Linked DNA regions of Arabidopsis thaliana. The protein of the gene in region 1 interacts with the protein of each later gene in a pairwise test. Each region holds a gene or a part of one and is shown in the gene's direction. Other genes may lie near its edges. The genes, in order: RHD6, PAR1, BEE1 and MEE8.

Evidence for each region.
Region 2: the proteins of RHD6 (region 1) and PAR1 interact in a two-hybrid assay, tested with the Arabidopsis thaliana proteins (one large-scale study listed by BioGRID).
Region 3: the proteins of RHD6 (region 1) and BEE1 interact in a two-hybrid assay, tested with the Arabidopsis thaliana proteins (one large-scale study listed by BioGRID).
Region 4: the proteins of RHD6 (region 1) and MEE8 interact in a two-hybrid assay, tested with the Arabidopsis thaliana proteins (one large-scale study listed by BioGRID).

Annotation. Positions count from the first base shown.
Region 1 is NC_003070.9:24,793,024-24,798,100, forward strand, and holds RHD6 (ROOT HAIR DEFECTIVE6), read left to right. Parts: upstream 1-2,190; 5' UTR 2,191-2,302; coding exon 2,303-2,830; intron 2,831-2,931; coding exon 2,932-3,036; intron 3,037-3,121; coding exon 3,122-3,187; intron 3,188-3,267; coding exon 3,268-3,333; intron 3,334-3,443; coding exon 3,444-3,575; 3' UTR 3,576-3,992; downstream 3,993-5,077. UniProt on the Arabidopsis thaliana protein: Transcription factor that is specifically required for the development of root hairs. Acts with RSL1 to positively regulate root hair development. Acts downstream of genes that regulate epidermal pattern formation, such as GL2.
Region 2 is NC_003071.7:17,835,098-17,839,582, reverse strand, and holds PAR1 (phy rapidly regulated 1), read left to right. Parts: upstream 1-1,964; 5' UTR 1,965-2,395; coding exon 2,396-2,752; 3' UTR 2,753-3,167; downstream 3,168-4,485. Other genes in the region: AT2G42865 (uncharacterized protein), read left to right, coding at 3,989-4,069, 4,145-4,312. UniProt on the Arabidopsis thaliana protein: Atypical bHLH transcription factor that acts as a negative regulator of a variety of shade avoidance syndrome (SAS) responses, including seedling elongation and photosynthetic pigment accumulation.
Region 3 is NC_003070.9:6,328,821-6,334,755, forward strand, and holds BEE1 (BR enhanced expression 1), read left to right. Parts: upstream 1-2,577; 5' UTR 2,578-2,643; coding exon 2,644-3,000; intron 3,001-3,103; coding exon 3,104-3,229; intron 3,230-3,330; coding exon 3,331-3,396; intron 3,397-3,826; coding exon 3,827-3,895; intron 3,896-4,179; coding exon 4,180-4,257; coding exon of another isoform or gene 4,258-4,299; exon of another isoform or gene 4,300-4,669; coding exon 4,670-4,756; 3' UTR 4,757-5,036; downstream 5,037-5,935. Other genes in the region: AT1G18390 (Serine/Threonine kinase family catalytic domain protein), read left to right, coding at 1-499, 600-1,115. UniProt on the Arabidopsis thaliana protein: Positive regulator of brassinosteroid signaling.
Region 4 is NC_003070.9:8,872,988-8,877,230, reverse strand, and holds MEE8 (basic helix-loop-helix (bHLH) DNA-binding family protein), read left to right. Parts: upstream 1-2,396; coding exon 2,397-2,624; intron 2,625-2,711; coding exon 2,712-2,777; intron 2,778-2,866; coding exon 2,867-2,926; intron 2,927-3,023; coding exon 3,024-3,107; downstream 3,108-4,243. UniProt on the Arabidopsis thaliana protein: Required during early embryo development, for the endosperm formation.

The DNA of each region.
Region 1 (5,077 bases):
AACTTATATGATTATATTATTTTCACAGTTTCATCAATAATTTATTTCACAATAATGTTGGGCGTGGGCTTTGCTCCCACTTTACTCGCTCGGCCCATCAAAAATGAGTAAATGTTAACTGGTTTGATAAGGTGTGAATGTTTTATTTGAAAGCAAAAAAAATCCTAACTTTTTTTTGTCGAAAAAAATCCTCAAAATGATTTAAAAAAGGAATAAAAAAGAACGTTATTTCAATAAAGACGGATTGTACAAAACATAAATTAGTATCGAACTAGTTTGAATTTTATTTCTACCAAAAAAAAAAAGGTTTTAGCATGTTTTGGTCTCTAAACCCAAAGAATGGGCCGAATGTCCAAAACTTCAACAAAAAAAAAAGATTATATACAAAGATATTAACGAAGATAAAATAAATAAAACAAGTTAGCCTAAAACAACTATATTATGGAGTATATTACTTATAAGTCGACGTGTCGGCTAAAGAAATGAAAGTAAGAAGCAGGTTCTTAGGAAAAATGAATCATCGAAACAAAATAAACAATGAAAATGAATCATCGAAAGAATTGATATATATTAGAATCGATCATATATATGGGAATCAAAAAGACGTGTAGATTAGCGGAAGATACGGCGATGATTTTGCTTCTATGTTTTTCGCTTCTCTTAATTAATAAACTATTTTTGGGGTTATAAAGTCTCAGTCCATTAATTTCACCTTACTGCCAGCTAACAATCCCGATGAATTACTCATAAATATTGTAATACAACAATTACTCATAAATATTGTAATACAACACTTTAATTTACGTTCATTCATTTTTTTTATCACTCCAAAAAGATAATGATGTATTTGATATGCGATCCATATTTTTCCCCGACGTCAAGATTTTTTCTATGCCATTTTTTAAAATGAGTTCTTATTATTTACATTGTTGATCATGTGGTTTTACAGTGCCACATTAGTTGCTAAAATTATATACAATACAAATAACTTATATAATTTTTCCTCACCAGTATTAGTGGTCTATGTTTGGAGTATTTTTTATATAACATATATGGTACCGACTCGATTCAATTGATTAAATACCATAAAAGATAATTCTGTCTATAGACAATCTTTTACAATATTCTTTTTTTAAAAAAAAAAATACCTTAATTTGGGTTCATTTGAGTTTAACAAATTAAAAGTGAAAAAGAACTAATGAAAACTCAGTATTCTTACTACAATTTTCAATAAATATCGAAATTTATAATTAATTAATACTTAATTTACATTTTTCATATTTATATTTATCCATTCAGTTAATTGAAAATTAAAAATAAAATAATAATGTGAATATGTTTTATTGGTTAAATAAAAATGTAGTAGATTTTACGATATATTAAACATACAACTTTTTTTTGGTTAAGAACTATTGTATAGAGTAAGGTTTCAAATAATAACAATGGAACAAATTTTTTGTCCAAAAAAAAAAAAAATGGAACAAATTTAACTGTGAGAAAATAGTGGGATAGAAGCAAATAATGGAACCAGTGCAGTTAGTACGAAATGAAAGAATATGTGGAAGTATCATAAATATGTAAAATTTAAAAGTTAGAATACCAAAATTTTAGCTATCTTTTTAAAGAGGATCTAAAAAGTATCAGAAAACATGTAAGGTTGTGTTTATTAGAACTATTCATCTAGTAGAAAAGTGATTGTCATTATCTTCAAGTATCACATTAAAAAAAAAAAAAAAAATGTTGTGTAGTGTCTGTCGATGAACATCGGAGTAAAATGGATGTCATTATCTTGAAAGAACTAAGAAATATGAGTGTCCATAGGCAGAGTAACAAGTTGTTACTAACAACATTACAAGGAGACAATGACTACAAAAAAACAAAACAAATACAAGCATTTTTAGTAACCATACGTTTTAGGCATGCTAGTCCAATATTCCCAGTTAAGGAAATGTACAAAAAATAACATATGTCTAGCTAGAATTCTATGCATTCATAACTTCGAAGCTTCAAACTGATAAGAGTTTAAAAAATGACGTAAAATATTGAATTTGATCTAATGCCAGCTTCTTTTTCTAATCAGTTTAATCAAACTCAATAAATTAAAAAAAAATCTTAAGAATACGTCACTAGCTTAAATAAAATATTAGACATAAACCACTTATATAAACCTTTATCATAACATAACTACACAAACACATTGTCTCTCTTTGCTTACCAATAGACAACCTTAAAGCCACTTTTCGTCAACAAGACACACAAAAACCCTAAACAAAAAATCACTTATCAAACTTATTAGTGTCTAATGGCACTCGTTAATGACCATCCCAACGAGACCAATTACTTGTCAAAACAAAATTCCTCCTCTTCCGAAGATCTCTCCTCGCCGGGACTGGATCAGCCAGATGCAGCTTATGCCGGTGGAGGAGGAGGAGGAGGCTCGGCTTCGAGCAGTAGCACGATGAATTCAGATCATCAACAACATCAGGGGTTTGTATTTTACCCATCCGGTGAAGATCATCACAACTCTTTGATGGATTTCAACGGATCATCATTTCTTAACTTTGATCATCACGAGAGCTTTCCTCCTCCAGCCATAAGCTGTGGTGGTAGTAGCGGTGGGGGCGGCTTCTCCTTCTTGGAGGGCAACAACATGAGCTACGGCTTCACAAACTGGAATCATCAACATCATATGGATATTATTAGCCCTAGATCCACCGAAACTCCCCAAGGCCAGAAAGACTGGTTATATTCTGATTCAACTGTTGTAACCACTGGTTCTAGAAACGAGTCTCTTTCGCCTAAATCCGCTGGAAACAAACGTTCTCACACGGTAATTACAAACAACAAAGTCTTGGTGAATATTTTTCATATAAGATGTCAATGAAAGATCGTTGATATATACTACTATCAATTTGAATTATGGATATATAGGGAGAGAGCACTCAACCGTCGAAGAAACTGAGTAGCGGTGTGACCGGAAAGACCAAGCCTAAGCCAACAACTTCACCTAAAGATCCACAAAGCCTAGCAGCCAAGGTTTGCTTTCTTGACATTAATTTACATTCATTAAAATAAAACTCAATCTCTCAACACATATTTACATATGTTTTATTTTGTTCAGAATCGAAGAGAAAGGATAAGTGAACGTCTCAAGATATTGCAAGAACTTGTTCCCAATGGCACCAAGGTACACATCCATATAACCATTTATGACAGATTTATTATATTACTTATTCTCATGATAATAATATTTGTTATGTTTCACAGGTTGATTTGGTGACAATGCTTGAAAAGGCTATTAGTTATGTCAAGTTCCTTCAAGTACAAGTTAAGGTATATTAGTTATGACAAACATCCCTCAAATTAATTTTCAGGATTGATTTAATTACCATATTTATCGAATTATTACGTAACACGTATTGATATAATCTATTGTTTGTTAGGTATTAGCGACCGATGAGTTTTGGCCGGCTCAAGGAGGAAAAGCTCCTGACATTTCTCAAGTTAAAGACGCCATTGATGCCATTCTCTCCTCATCACAACGAGACAGGAATTCGAATCTGATCACCAATTAATGAAGGGTTTTATCATTAATAAATCAGTTTATCAAACATTAATTACGTACGTTGTAATAATATCGGGGGAAACAATGATTCTCTCGATTATAAATCCCACGTAAATTTTGAAATATGATCCAAAGAGAAGACAATCGAGATTATGTAACGTTAGATTATGTGAAAATCGAGAAGTTCTTAATGCATCTATAACGAAGAGAAGACAAGAGACATTGAATTCACCGATGATCAGTCTGATATGGGTCCACACGGGGATGGAATCTTTAACTAGTAAATAAGTGTTAAAAACATAAATATGTTTTTCAATTTCTTTTTCTGTTTTAATTGTATTTTGTGTGTTTTAGTCTACGGAATACAGATCTTTTATTTAAACTCCAAGAAATGAGTAATAAAATTCTTCACTTTTGTTTTTTCCTTGAGGTTTCAGTTTCAGAGAATCTATCTTTTTGTCATCTTTCTTTGTCTATTTGAGCTTGGCTTTATTAAAGCTAGCTCTTGAGCGACATGCTTATTTATTTAAAATTCGTCAAAAGTTTGTCACACATATTATAGGGTCTCTATATAGATTGCAATGCATAGTATTTTTTGAAAAAAAAGATAAACTATGAATTTCTATTACCAAAATAGACCATTTTTTTATTTATAATTGCTCTAGGACGACGAGTTCTTCTGTGCAAAACATTTTCACATTCTCTGTATGAATGATCAAAACATAATGTTAACCTAGTTTGCTTGGCTAAAACATTTTATGATATAATTTTGGTACACTAAAATATGTATTTTCGAAAATATAAACATTTTTATATGTAGGTAAATAAGTATTCAACCAAAAGTTGAGAAATCTTAAAATCAGTGATGAATAGCATATATTTTTTTTATCAATTAATTGTAGGATAACCATACACTGATACACATCAGCACCTTTATCGTATAAAATTATTTCTCAAATTAAGTATGAGATTATATTAATTGATTGGACGACATACCTAAGATCTCGATTTATCAGCCCATGTCAGCATGTGTCCTTTGGGAAAGATTAGGGATACGTGTTCTTATTAATTTATACATTGTTTTCATTTGAATTGATATTCAAATGTATGTCCAAAATTATTAAATTAATTAACTACATGATTAGCCACATGGATAATCCCACTTTAGGCGCTGTACTTGTATTTATGTACTTACGAGCTCCATCAAGTCAATAAGACAAACGAAGTTATTAAGAAGTCCAATAATCTATTTATTTTATAATCCATTACATGATTCCATATTTATCTTACTAGACTGGCATTATGTAAACAAATGAATGAATTGAAACGAAATATCAAAATTTCAATTCGATTTGTTTTCAGAAGTTTTGTAAAATATTAGTCTTATTGTATTATATTACACTTGAGTTTATTTATAGAAACAGAAAAAAATCAATTTTATTACCTTTTAAATGTTATTTTCTAAATCATTTACTTAAGTTAGGTTAAAATAAATGTATATGCACATGAAAG
Region 2 (4,485 bases), on another chromosome or scaffold:
TCTTTTATTTTTGTGGCAACAAAAATAAATAGTGAAAGGGAATCATCTCAAACTCCTCCTAGATATAAATATTTAGGTTTTCGTCATTAAATAAAAGTTATTTTGGAAAAAATAGAAACAACGAACAAGATACAAAAGGACATAGAATTGATTATTCCAAGACGACGAATGTGAAAGCTGGCTAAAAGCTAAAATTAAATTTCGAGTGTGTTATTTTTGTAACATATTTAATGTAAGTGCAAATACATAAATAAATAGATACTAGAATTGGGGAGAGTGTCAGTTTGGTAGATGGTGAAATGCGAAAGGCACCCGATTTTTGTAAATCTCAATCCCGAGAAACCAAACCCTCCTTCGTCCCCTCTTTGGAAACATCATCTCTTTCTTTATTTCTCTCTTCCATCTTCTTCTTCTTCTAAAACAACATCTTAACAATTTTTAGTATTACTAAAAACCCTAGACGTAAAAGAAATGTGTTATTCTGTTCCTGATCTTTGTCTTAATTAAGACCATACATTATTTCTTTTAATTAGATGTCAATCATTATTCTTTACTAAATTTTTTTTCTTGAGTAGATTTAGGTTAATTTGCAATCTTGGATTAAAGACCTACAAAAATGCAATTGTTTTTTTTTAATGCAATTATTTTTTATTAAGTCTTTATCTAGTTTTTATATCATATAGTTGACAAAAGAAATGCACCGGAGGGCTCATTTATGGAACCAACATTAAGTAAGATTTACTATAACGGTTTTATGTATAAAAGATGTATATTATAAAGATCTCTAGCTAGAAACATGTAACACTATATTCGAATCCAATAACACTAAACTTCCTTGGCTTTCTTCTTGTTATATAGTGGCCATTTCTCTAACATTATAGATATATTGAGATTGTTGTTTTTACGTGGTAAGAAATATGGGATGTTAATTGGAGTTTCTTTTAATAAGAAAAAGGAGTTGACAAAAAAAAAATGAAGGACAGATTTAGGAGGTCACTGAGGTGGGGGGGACCCAAAAAAGGGTTGACACGTGGCCACCATGCCCGATAGATATCATGTGGATCTTAGTAGGATTAGGTCCTCAATTGTACGAACAAGTTCACTATCTCTTAGAGGATCTATTTGATCTCATCCATCTAATAATAATACTATATTACAGTCTGTACATAATGTATAGAGAGGAGGAAGCACATGGGAATGGGGCTTTGAAGATGGAGATATTCATGTGACCCGCACATGTCCTCTCCTCTCTCTTCCTTGTTCCCATGCAAGTAGTGTCTCACTGTATCCTTCTTCTTTTCCTTCCTTATCTCCACGCGCGTGGTCGTTTTCATTTCGTCCGTACTACGTAATTACGACAAAACTTACTCTTATACCATCAGGCATTAGTCCATTACCAGGCACCACCCGAATGGCCTATAAGCATAAGTGCATAACTATAGGGTTTGTCGTCGTCTACTTGAATTTTTCTTTTGGAAATTTAAGCTCACATAAAATAGTTTATACTCTTTATTCTTGTTGTAGAAAATAAGACTGGTAACTATGCAAAACAACGTATAGCAGCTATTACATTTATGGCTAAACCAGATCACAAACCATTTAGAGTTTAAATTAAAGTTCGAATAATATTTTAGCAAGTAATCCGGCTTGATAAATAAATGAGACACTTGCTAAAAGTAATCCGGCTTGTATTAACAACGCATATCCTAATACAATAATAAAGCATTGTTGTATAATTAGTTAATTACTATGTCAAACGTCTAGCTCTTAAACAAACAAATTTAACGTGCCAAATCTCATTTATCAAACAAACAAAAAAATCCAATCTAGATGCGAGGTTGATCCACTTAAGTGAGTGATGAGTCCACTAAAGTCTAAACCAGTCGACATGGCGCGTGAAAGCTCTTCTTCTAAAGATCCAAATCTGTGGAAGCAACCAAAGTAAGAGATAATTAAATAAATCTCCACAATCCGAAACACGAGGATAATAAAATTAAAAATAACGCACAACTGGACCCAGCTTTGATGGCAATACCGCTCATTTAACCATTTCCCAATTTCTAAATGTAGAATTTATTTTATATCGTTTCAATTTTTACATCGTTTTTTATAGACAAACCAAACCAAAATTCGTTCATAACCGAACCTTTCACTAATGTAAGCAAACAATGTAACATAAAGCATAGCAAACCAAATCAAACCGATAGAGTATTGTCTCTAAACTCGCAACAAACCAAAATAAAATCAGGTTGAACCGACCACATTTCAACATTTTTGTCTACTAAATCCATCATCACTCATATATATATATATAACACACACAGTTACACATATCCACATTCCTTACTTGTTCATTATTCTCTCAGACTCATCATTCATCTCTCTCTTTCTTTCAATGGAAGAAACTCTAGCCACTCCCGACGCCACGAGACGCTCTCTGTCACCGTCATGCTCAGCCACCGTGAAATCACGCGCCGCTGGTTTCGAGCGCAGAACCAAACGGAGATTGTCAGAGACTAACGCAAGCGTACGTGAAGACCGAGAAGAAGCAGAAGAAGAAGAAGATGAGGTCAAGGAAAAGATTGAGGCGTTGCAGAGGATTATCCCCGGAGGAGCGGCGCTTGGTGTGGACGCGCTCTTCGAAGAGACAGCTGGTTACATTCTGTCTCTACAATGTCAGATCAAAACCATTAAAGTCCTTACTTCGTTTCTTCAACGCATAGATCAAGAAGACATGAAGTTCGGAGGTTGAAGATTATCACACCAAGACTGCTCTTCTTTCTTCGATTCCTAAAAACAAAAAAAAACGTTTTTTTTTTTCAAATCTTTTATTTCCTTTTTTATAACATGGGATTTTAGCTTTGATATATGAGGAAAGAGACTCAACATTTTTTTCTTCGAATTTTTTTTTTCTTTAGTAGGAGTATAATCTTTAATTTTAATGTTCTGATTTATTTATTAAGCCGTTTCACGGTTATGAGAAGTGTTCATTAACGAAAATTAGCATTAATTAATGTAGTTATATAACTTATTTTAGTAGGACGCCATATAGTATAGATATTAAATTGGATCACGAGGTTTCACTTGCATATGAGATTTGACATTAATGATATTGAGAAAGTTAATGTTACGTGGCCCATTTTTAAATCTGGATGAGCTCATTTCACATGCTTTATTATAACAAAGATTTCCAAAGTCGGTCGATATTTATTTAAGCTTATGATGAACTTACTAGATTTGAGTTCCCGTGGTCCAACAATAGAGTTCATGTATATTCCTTGTACATACATATACAAGACAAATCTTTTTAGTCGTGTAAGTACTAGAGCTAGCATCTACACAGAAATTTAAACACATTTGCCGCTAGAAAAAAAACAATATCAGTTTTAGTATTCATTATAACGTAATTTCTGACCCACAACAATGCAGCTATATCGAACTCTATGGAACTATTTACTCCACACATAGCGGAAAGTCGGGGAAGATATAATTTTCTTACCAACCCTATCTACTCTCTATCCAAATTACATTACAAAGATGAATTTAAGGTTGAACATCGTATAGTACGAAGTTGTAATCAATAATGTTAACTTCAACATCCTTTACCAAACCAAAATTTAAAATAAAAACCATTGATAGATTATAACTAATCACATCCTGTATGGGCTAAAAGCCTAAAAGATTACGATTCCACATGTTTTTTGATTGCCTTAGTTATGTTATAATTGGGCTTAACATAACTGGGCCTGAACCCATTAAACACTAAGAGGTCCGTACAAAAAAGGATTCGCGGCAATATTGTCAAGTGTCAACTACCCTCGGAACGACTTCTTCACTAAAAGTTAAAACTTAAAACCCTAAATCATTTTTTTCTGGTGAATTGAAATAGAATTCTATTTCAAGGAATTGGAGAAGAAGAAGCAAGAATTGACACGGGATAATCTGGAATTGAAGGAGGAGGGTGAGATTACTGAGAGAGATTGAGGAGATGAGAAGTCTGGAAGTGGAGATGAAGCAGAGGTGTGGAGAGATGGAGATTGAGATGAAGCAAATAGAAGAAGAGAAGAAGGTTTTAGAATCTATATCGACGGGAGCTGTGGAGCTTGAGAGTGAGTATTCAGGATGATCTTATCACTGCGTTGAGCGGCGAGATGAGACGGTGACAGAGGTGGCTGAATTGAAGAAATGGTTAATGGAGAAAGGTGATAGCTTTGAGAGTTATGAGAAGGAAGTAGAGAGTTTGACGAAAGTGAGAAGTGATATTGAGAAGAGGTTTAGGGGAATTGCAAGTCTGAGAGGAAGCTTTGAGTGAATGGAGAAGAAATTGAAGAAGGTTGAAGAAGCTAAGAAAACGCTAGCTTTGTTGAACGAGAGGATCTTGGAGCCTACTAATGGAGTCAGAGCTACAAAGGATGTTGCTTGCGATGGTTATGGAAAGATTTACTTGGAAGGAGAATTACAGTGGCAGTGGTTGCTGCTGGTTAG
Region 3 (5,935 bases), about 18 Mb from region 1:
TGACATCGAGAAAGCAGAGGAATTATTAGTCGGAGTTCATATTTTCTCTTACGAAGAACTTGAAGAAGCCACTAATAACTTCGACCCATCTAAAGAACTCGGTGATGGAGGCTTTGGTACTGTCTATTACGGTAAGCTTAAAGATGGACGAAGCGTAGCCGTTAAACGGTTATACGATAACAACTTCAAAAGAGCAGAGCAATTCAGGAATGAAGTTGAGATCTTAACGGGTTTACGCCATCCAAACCTCGTGGCTCTCTTTGGATGCTCCTCAAAACAGAGCCGGGACTTACTGCTAGTGTATGAGTATGTTGCAAACGGCACGTTAGCTGATCATCTACATGGTCCACAGGCAAACCCTAGCTCACTTCCTTGGTCTATTCGGCTCAAAATCGCTGTTGAAACTGCCTCTGCCTTGAAGTATCTCCACGCCTCCAAGATCATCCACCGTGATGTTAAATCCAACAACATCCTTCTCGACCAAAACTTCAATGTCAAGGTCAGTAACTCACACTGGTTATTACTCAATCTGGTGGGATTTTATCGGATCATAATCTTAACTTCTTTCTGTGTTTTTTTTACTGTTTTCGACATTTTAGGTTGCGGATTTTGGACTCTCTAGACTGTTTCCTATGGATAAAACGCACGTATCTACCGCTCCACAAGGAACTCCGGGATATGTCGACCCGGATTACCACTTATGCTATCAACTCTCAAACAAAAGCGACGTGTACAGCTTTGCGGTAGTGTTAATGGAGCTTATCTCTTCACTTCCAGCAGTCGACATCACAAGACCGCGCCAAGAGATCAACCTCTCGAACATGGCAGTCGTTAAAATCCAGAACCACGAGCTCCGCGACATGGTGGATCCGTCACTTGGGTTTGACACGGATACAAGAGTGAGACAGACGGTGATCGCTGTCGCTGAGCTGGCGTTCCAATGCTTGCAGTCGGATAAAGATCTTAGGCCATGTATGTCGCACGTGCAGGATACGTTGACGAGGATACAGAACAATGGATTTGGTTCGGAAATGGATGTTGTAGATGTGAACAAGAGTGGACCGTTGGTTGCACAGTCTCCAGATAGTGTCATTGTGAAATGGGACAGTAAGTAAAATTAGTCGCACGGCCACTAACATTGTATGTGTTTATTATTTGTATGTTTAAAATTGTCAGTTAACAGTTAGAGAATGGTGTTCGTGTTCTGTATTAGATGATATTTTTGGGAATGTATATAATGATGATCTTGTTCCGATTCCACCTAGAGAGGGACCGTAACATACAAAACTTCGTGATTGGGCCTGACCGGACTAAATCAGCAATTTTGTATTGCTATTTGCTGCCAACTGAAACTATTTTTTTATTAGTGGTTAATTTTATTTTTTTACGGAAAAGGTAAAAATATTTGAGACATCAAAATAATGATGGTAATTAAGTAACGCCAGCTCAGCGACGGCGATGACTATCCACCAATTTAACGTCAGAAGAATATATATATGTATATTGAGCTTATCTTCTGTTTCCAATGTAAGTGGAAAGTCCACTGCTGCAATCACAATGTAAGACCTGCATCTATGAAGTTTTAATGAAAGACACTTTCAGAGAAAAAAAAAAAAAACTTCTGTTTCCAAAATTTCCTAATTAAAGCACACCAATTTGGGCATGGATGCTTTACTACTTCTATTAATGAACAAGTTAAAGAGTAAGTTGTCTTGAATGAATGAAATTGCATGTGAATCAAATCCCTCCACCATACATAATAGATAATCTATAGTAATGGCCCAACTAAACATTGACATTTGTTGCAACCTAACTCTTTCCTAAAAGGAAGAAAAAAAAAAAAAAAAAAAAACTCTTTCCTAAAACTCAATGTGTTTGATCATCACAAGGACAAACAAAGGAAATCTCTAGTATGCCGATTAAAGTGAAAATTTGTCTTCACCAATATAAATAATTTGGTAACTTAAACTTTAACTAAAGATTCATAAATTGGCGTCAACTTATGTAAAAGAACCTTCATATATACTTTCGTTTATCTCCCTATATTTTTATACATACACATATTTATAGTATTTTTGTCGATTAATTGGCATTGGCCATTTGGAAGTTATAATTAAGTTGGCAAATGGATGTGATCTCTTACCCTATACACCTACATAAAAAACCCTCCATGCAAAACATTAATGGATGTTTTCATTAAAACAAGTTTTGATATCAACTTAGTTTGACTAGCTACATCCATTTCAATATTTTCTTCCCAATATTAATAATAAATTTAAAGATAGACCACTAGTTCTTAACCTCACACCAAACTGACTAGAAATGTTCTTCCCCCTTGCAAACAGAGAAAGCCTAATGGAACCCACGACCAAACATTGGTCCTACTTTTCCTTGTTTGGACATATCTCCCCGACACACAAATCCCAGAACGTTCACTTGCCCACGTGGCTCTCCCTTTATTTCTCTCTTTTTCTTTCTTAATTTTCTCCACATTTCTTTTTCTAAAATCATAAATTAAATTAATAAAAAAATCCAATCGAACAATATAAAAGTCTCAAGTTTTGTATCAACCAGTCTAAAGAAGTTGTCAGAAAAAAAAAAAAAAAAAAGTGTCAAGAAGATCATATCTCAATTCATTATATTATGGCAAATTTCGAGAATCTTTCTTCTGATTTTCAGACAATAGCCATGGATATATATTCTTCCATAACTCAAGCTGCAGATCTAAACAACAACAACAGTAACCTTCATTTTCAAACATTTCATCCTTCCTCTACTTCTCTCGAATCGCTCTTCCTTCATCATCATCAACAACAATTACTTCACTTTCCCGGAAACTCTCCAGACAGTAGTAACAATTTCTCTTCAACTTCAAGTTTCCTCCATAGTGATCACAACATCGTCGATGAGACCAAGAAGAGAAAAGCTTTGTTACCTACTTTGTCTTCATCAGAGACTAGCGGCGTCTCCGATAATACGAATGTTATTGCCACTGAAACAGTAATTGATCTCGAAACCCTAGCTAATTATCTTATCATTTTCATAACTTATCATTAAAAAGTTCGTTTAAAATAATTACTTTTATTGTCTAAAAAATATCTAGGGTTCTTTGAGAAGAGGTAAGAGGTTGAAGAAGAAGAAGGAAGAAGAAGACGAGAAAGAGAGAGAAGTTGTTCATGTGAGAGCCAGAAGAGGCCAAGCCACTGATAGCCACAGCTTAGCAGAACGGGTAAAATTGCTTAAATTGTCTATATAAATTCATTTTTTTTATAAACGTGGTGTATTCATTTAAATTTATATACATGTCTACACTCTATATCAAAATTTCAGGTTCGGCGAGGGAAAATAAACGAGAGATTAAGATGCTTGCAAGATATGGTGCCCGGATGTTATAAGGTAATAATGCAAAGATAAATATAATAGTTTAACATTTTCAACTTTTCATTACTTCTTTTTTAATATATTTGTAATCAAAATAGAAACTAATGGCCATTAAACAATAAATAGCATATGAAAAGGTCATCATCGGCATTAATTGTCACTAATTATACTTGAATCAAATTTAAGCATTTTATGATAAAAGTGATACTTTTAGTTAAACAAGAACATATGTATCCAAAAGTATTTTTAACATGCATGAGTGTGATTTTAGCTTTTTTCTTTGATACCGCTCATAATATTTTCCGAAAATTGTTCTTCGGATTTTTTTTTGTTTTTTTTGTTTACAAAGAACTCAGAAAAAAAATTGTAGAAAAAGTGATGTGATTTTCTATTGATTTAGTGGTGCTTACTTCTTATAATGAAAGTGTATGTTTGGTGGGTGCAGGCTATGGGAATGGCTACGATGCTTGACGAGATAATTAATTATGTCCAGTCTCTACAGAATCAAGTCGAGGTAAATAATTTAAGTTGTAATCATAAACTACATATATCAATAAGACTTTGTCTTCTTGTATTTTGGAGAAAGAAAAAAAAAACTAGAAAATGGAGGTTTCATGAGATGGGAGGTTCGGTAAATACCTACTTTAGTAGTACTTTCCGAAACACGGCAAATCTTAGATATTCGAAAATTACAAAAAAAAAACGAAAATCTTACCACACACTTTAAAAAACTTCCAAAACACAAGCTTTAATTTTATAAATTACTCAATTTTGTTTCATGTTTTTTGTGGATTTCAGTTCCTCTCGATGAAACTCACTGCAGCAAGTTCGTTTTATGACTTTAACTCAGAGACAGATGCAGTTGATTCCATGCAGGTACTAGAACATTCTAATAATGTTTTTCAATTCTTAAGATAAGCATATATATAATTAATTAGTGGTAGTCTGGTAGAGATGTTGTAATGGGTCCGGTATGTTTTGATCGAGTCGGTTCTACAAAGATTTATTCAAAAATACAAGTGTTTGTAGTTTAGATTCAATCTTATTAGACTATAATATATGATCACGCGGACTATATGACCCGCAATTAAAATATGTTCGACAGGTCAAATCCAGCCTTTGCATAATTGATCTTGTATGGTTTATTGGTTTAAGTAGTCTCTTTTTTTTTGGCATTATATTTGCATGGTTTAAGTCTAACTAGTTGTTGTTATGACAATTACTTTATTTTAACGTGATAAAGTATTTCTATTAGTATTGAATAATATGAATGGAATACAATTGGCAGAGAGCAAAGGCACGTGAGACAGTGGAGATGGGGAGACAAACAAGAGATGGGAGTCCTGTCTTCCATTTATCAACATGGTCCCTTTGACTTTTGTTTTCTCTTTTCTCTTTTCCTTCTTTTTTATTGTTTTCGAAATTATTCTTCTATTTATTTGGATGCGATATGTCATATATACGACCCAACTTGGGATAATATTTGTAATCTGTATACTTGTAATTTCGACGATATAAATTTATTGGTGACTTATAATTGTCATGTAAATATCTCAGTTGTCCTCTCCCTTTTCGCTTTGCTATTTCGTTTGCTTGGCACCTTTTTCCTTTTCCTCTTATGTAATTGTCCTCTTAAGTTATGAAATGATCAGAAATAAAATTCAACAGAATTTTTTTATTTTGTTTCTGCAAATGAAGTTATAAATCATGGATGAATTAGCTCATATGTCAAAGTGTTGATGAGTGAATTGACGATGATGGGAAGAGAGAAATCAATTGTAAATTGTATATATTACCAAATCTTCAATGAAATGTGATTAGTCTTTATAACAAAAAGAAATGAGCGTTACCAGTCGGTTTAAATATTGATTTTAGTTTATTAATTTTAGGGTCGAGAGTTCTTAGTCTGATTACAGACATGCATGTGCTTTTGATGTCTAGAGTTCCACTTCACTTTCCTACGTAAAGTGGGTTAAAAACGGCTTCGGCTATAGAATTACTAAAAATGAAGATTAGTTTATAATATAAAACGATATGTTCTTGTTAAGGGATTATATTTCCATTCATATGTAATTTGCTTTTGGTTACTAAAAACATTTTCCTTTTTCAGCGAGAAAGGCATAGTTACATATACGATAAACTGGAAGAGGCAAGTTGCGCAAGGTTTGGTAACGAAGAGGAGTTATGGAACCAAAGAGACTTTGTCGGTGTAAATTAACAAAAACACCCTTCACTTCTGTAGCTTTCCAAAGACAATGATGTGTGTCTCCCAAACCAAAAACAGAGACAAAATAGTAAATTGTGATGCGAAGCCTATGGACGTGTTTTACAGACGAACAACCAATCTCTTGAGACTTCCTTCCTCTTTTGTGGTCTCTCTTATTATCCATATATGAATATCTCTTATATATTTCATATTTTTTTCAAAAATAATTCTAATAGCGACGGTTCACTTCACAGGATCTTACGGATGTTGCCTATTCATAATCTTTATGATTGATAGAACAATTCAGATATTTGTATGATCGTATATATAAAGAAAGTGAGGGTATAA
Region 4 (4,243 bases), about 16 Mb from region 1:
AGTAAGCTGGAGTAGAAAAAGTAATACCCCTACTTCTACTTTATTTTGTAAAGAAAATAATAGAGTGATTAGTACGGCTCCATGATTATCCCACATTCTATGTATAACTATATATAAAGGGAACACCTTTATGAACTATGATGTCCCTCTTTGTATGTTTTCCAGCCGTTAACACACACATTTGTATCATCAAGTAATCAATTTATTGAAAAATGTGAATCATGATGTCTATAGTTGTCTAGCTACTCCGAACGTATACTAACTAATCAGTTTTAAAATTAGTTGATATTCAATGTATGTGCATGTGAATGTGTAGATGTAAATGTAATTTGTGAAACTTAGTTCAAGCTAATTAACTAAAAGGAAATAAACATAAGGTTATACAAATGGAGATTGTCTATATGTATTTGATTAAAGATCTTTCACATTTAATAACAGTTTGGGATTTAACAAAAAAAACATAGTTGTGGTGGTGATATACTATGAAGTTATAGATGCTGATTCATAGTAGTGAGATTAATTTTAGAGGTTTTACTAACAGCCAATAATAGAAACTTCTTTCAAATAATTAAAATTTCCTATAAAATAAAGCACATGAATGAGAATGACACCAAAAAAGTAATTGCAGTTCCGATAGGATAGAAGAAAAGTGTTGCTAAAAGAGATATCATACATTGAACAGACATGCCTGGACCTATGTTTTATGCTTTGCTTTCTCAGCATATCAATCATCCATACCACCAAGGCACCAACACTATATAATATTAAGTGAAGAATGAATGTTCTCAGTCTTTGTAAATTAGACTGGACAAAAGAATACTACGAGAACGTAAAAAGATTAAAATATCATTTTGTTTACTATTTTTTATCAGTAAAAGCACTTTACATATATATAGTGTGCCCCAGTAAAAGAGATGGTGGATACATGGAGCAGCAAAATATGAGTATAGACCAGAAAAGATAATCAAAGCTAGGCTCTAACTTTGGCACGTTGAAAATAGGAGCGTGTGTTCGAGAAGTTAGCCGTTGCTGTGGAGCACTGGAGCGCATAGACTATCTAACATCATTACCAAACTACGCAATCCACATGTATTACGCAATAACATGATCTCACTTGGTCTTTGTGTTTTTTTTCTTTTTTCTTTCTCTATTGCAGTTTTCTTTAATATTTTCGAAACATCATGTTTATTAATCTTGGTTTCCATGGATGCATATTTTACCTAAATAGTGCAACGTTGTCAAAACCAATTGTTTGGATCGATGATATAACACTCATGTTTAGAAACTATTTACTTTTTTAATATATAAAACTTTGAATCTGAAGAGTCCTAAACTAAGACTAACAAAATAGAGGGACTCATGATCCAAAAGTTCTTGAAATCAATCTTACTTATCATTATATACGGGTAATAAATTTCTCAATCTGTAGAATATTATATCGATTGTGTAAATTTTAAACTATGAATTTTCATATTTCAAAAACAAAATAGCTCAATTTAACATTGTTTTCCATATCCCGAGATTATAAAGCATTTACGATCACCTGAGATATAAAAAACAAAAAATAGTTCATTTGTGAGTTATAAATATGTCACGTAAAATTGTTATAACCTCATGTTGTGTAACTTCTTAAAGAAACTACAAATTAATTTAAAAAATCATCCCAGAGATTTAGTTAAAGAAATTATTACCATGTCACCCATACATATAGACAAATAAGGCTGATGTCAAAACTTTAGTGCTAGATAAGATTTTAGAAAGTCTAAATCCCAACATACATGCTGAATGCTGACAAAGATCATGCCGCATGACAAACAAGGTTGCCGCATGATAAACAAGGTTGCCGCATGAACCGTTTTATAACCGGATATCTCCCTTAGCAACTCAAGGTTCTCTCTAAACCGGAAGGTACCATTCAGAAATATTGTAACTTACATCACTAGATTAATTAGATCATTCTCGAAAATATTTAAATATTTGTATTAAAGGTACGACGTAGAGTACTCCTAATGCATGTGGAGTTCTGAGTAAACGATTACAAGAGCCTCGTGACTTCGTAAGGTCCTAATATTGTCGTATTATGTGTGTATATATCCTGCATTCCAAAATCTCTAATTTTTTAAACCGTAGACTTAGGTCAAAAATGGACACGTTACATTTCTTGGCTATATCTATGAACCTTAGATGTCCACCTTACATAAATGTAATTTTATTTAAAGAATTAGTAACTTAGTGACGAAGAGTAGCTTTTTGAGCGGCAAACGTTGTTGTTTCTCGTCATGAGTAGTTTACATATATATCCTTTTCTCCCTGTATAAGTACCCTTGAAGCATGTCTGCGTTAAACTCAAATCAGCCAAACTTATCAGTAAAGAATCACTTAAAACTATCAAAAGAATGAACAAGGACGAAGTATTTCTTCGGCAATGGTTTGAGATACTATACTCGCTCACTAATCCAGAGGCGAATAGTGACTTGCGTAGGATCAACAACGAAAAAGGTGTAGAGAAAGTAGGGCAAAAGAGGTCAGCTGAGTCGAGGAGAGAAGGAAAGAAGAAGCGAGTTAAGACACAGTGCGTGATTAAATCTTCAGACAAATCTGATCATGATACCTTGTTGAAGAAGGTAACCAATAATAGTTGTATTGTTATGATACGTCTTCCCCAAGAAACTCTTGATTTACTCTTTTCTCTTCTTTGGATACCTTAGAAGAAACGGCGGGAACGTATAAGAAGGCAACTAGAAACACTTAAGGAAATTACACCCAACTGCCCACAGGTTCACAACTGCTTCCTTTGTTAACTGATTTTTTTTTCTTGGGAAATGTTAGTTTTGTTAATGTTTTTTTTTTCCGTATAATCTTACAGTCTGATATCAACGCCATCCTTGATTGCGTTATCGAGTACACGAACAACTTGCGCCTTGCAGTTCTTTTCGGAGGTAATTTTTTTTTATGGCCATACTCTGATCTGTTCGTTAAAGATTATTTATCTTTCTGGTTTTTAAATTTCTCTTCATTTCCAGCATTACAAGGGTTCGCAGGGAATATGTGACGACTGGAGACTGTTTACTGAAGCTGGTGCCGTTTTGTATTATATAGATACTTGATAAAAGTTTCGATTAGCTAAGTTTTCTTATTTTCTCAGTTGTTCTTTGTTGGTTTGTTATAATCAAATTGTATGTTTTTGGTTTAAATATTACGAGTTATGTTTTAGCCTCAGTTCTTCGTTTGTTTGTTATAATAAAATTGTATGTTTTTGGTTTAGATGTTACGAGTTATGTTTTAGCCATGAGACCATCTTTAATTAAATTCCGTTCGGAACTTAGTACTACTGGATCTTGCAAATTAAAAGTTAATGATTTGATCAGTCAATACTCGAACACTAGGCGCCTACTGTCCGCCATTTTCTTTTAATAAAAACCTTATGATATGTTTTGGTCTTCATGAAAAATTAATCTGTTAACAACCGGACCTAGTATCAGTGTATGATCCTTAAAACAAGTAATTCAATTTAAAAAATTAGGATAAGTGTTAGATGAATTGATCTTATATCTAAATATTTGTATGTGTTTATGATTAATTGAAAGTATTTAAAATACGGAAATTTCTGTTTTATATATTTTGGAAAAATACTACAAATAACAAAACAAATGAAAAAAATACCACAAAGATTTTGTTTTATGAAGTGTTCGGTAAAGATTGGGAGGCCAATAATTTGTTTTTTTTTCTAAAAAAATTATATTTATAAACAAAGCAAAATCAGTTGTAATTTTGAGAATATAGATTATCTTGATAATTATCTTTTTTATTATTTGTTAATATGATATTTATCTTTTCATGTTACTTATTCTTCAAATTTCATAAGTTATTAGATATTATCACATTTTAAACAAATTTCATATGATAAAACCCATATTTGATATATTTGTATTTACTTTGTATAAGAAATATCTGAATTTCTTTTTTTATATTTTAAATACCGTAAATATCTGGTTTCTTTTTTTTTGGTGGGCGTAATTATCTGGTTTCTTACTTTCTACTATTTAACATTGATAAAACAATTTTAAAACTAACTCAGCAACATCTAATATTTGAATATTATGTGAGAAATCATCGAGGAGACTTTTTAATAATAACATATTCAATTAAATTCAGAATTGTATTAAAATTTGAGTAAAGATAATCATCAAATCCAATATCTTCAAGTACACCTTGTTCTATTTCCTTTGACATTAAAATAGCT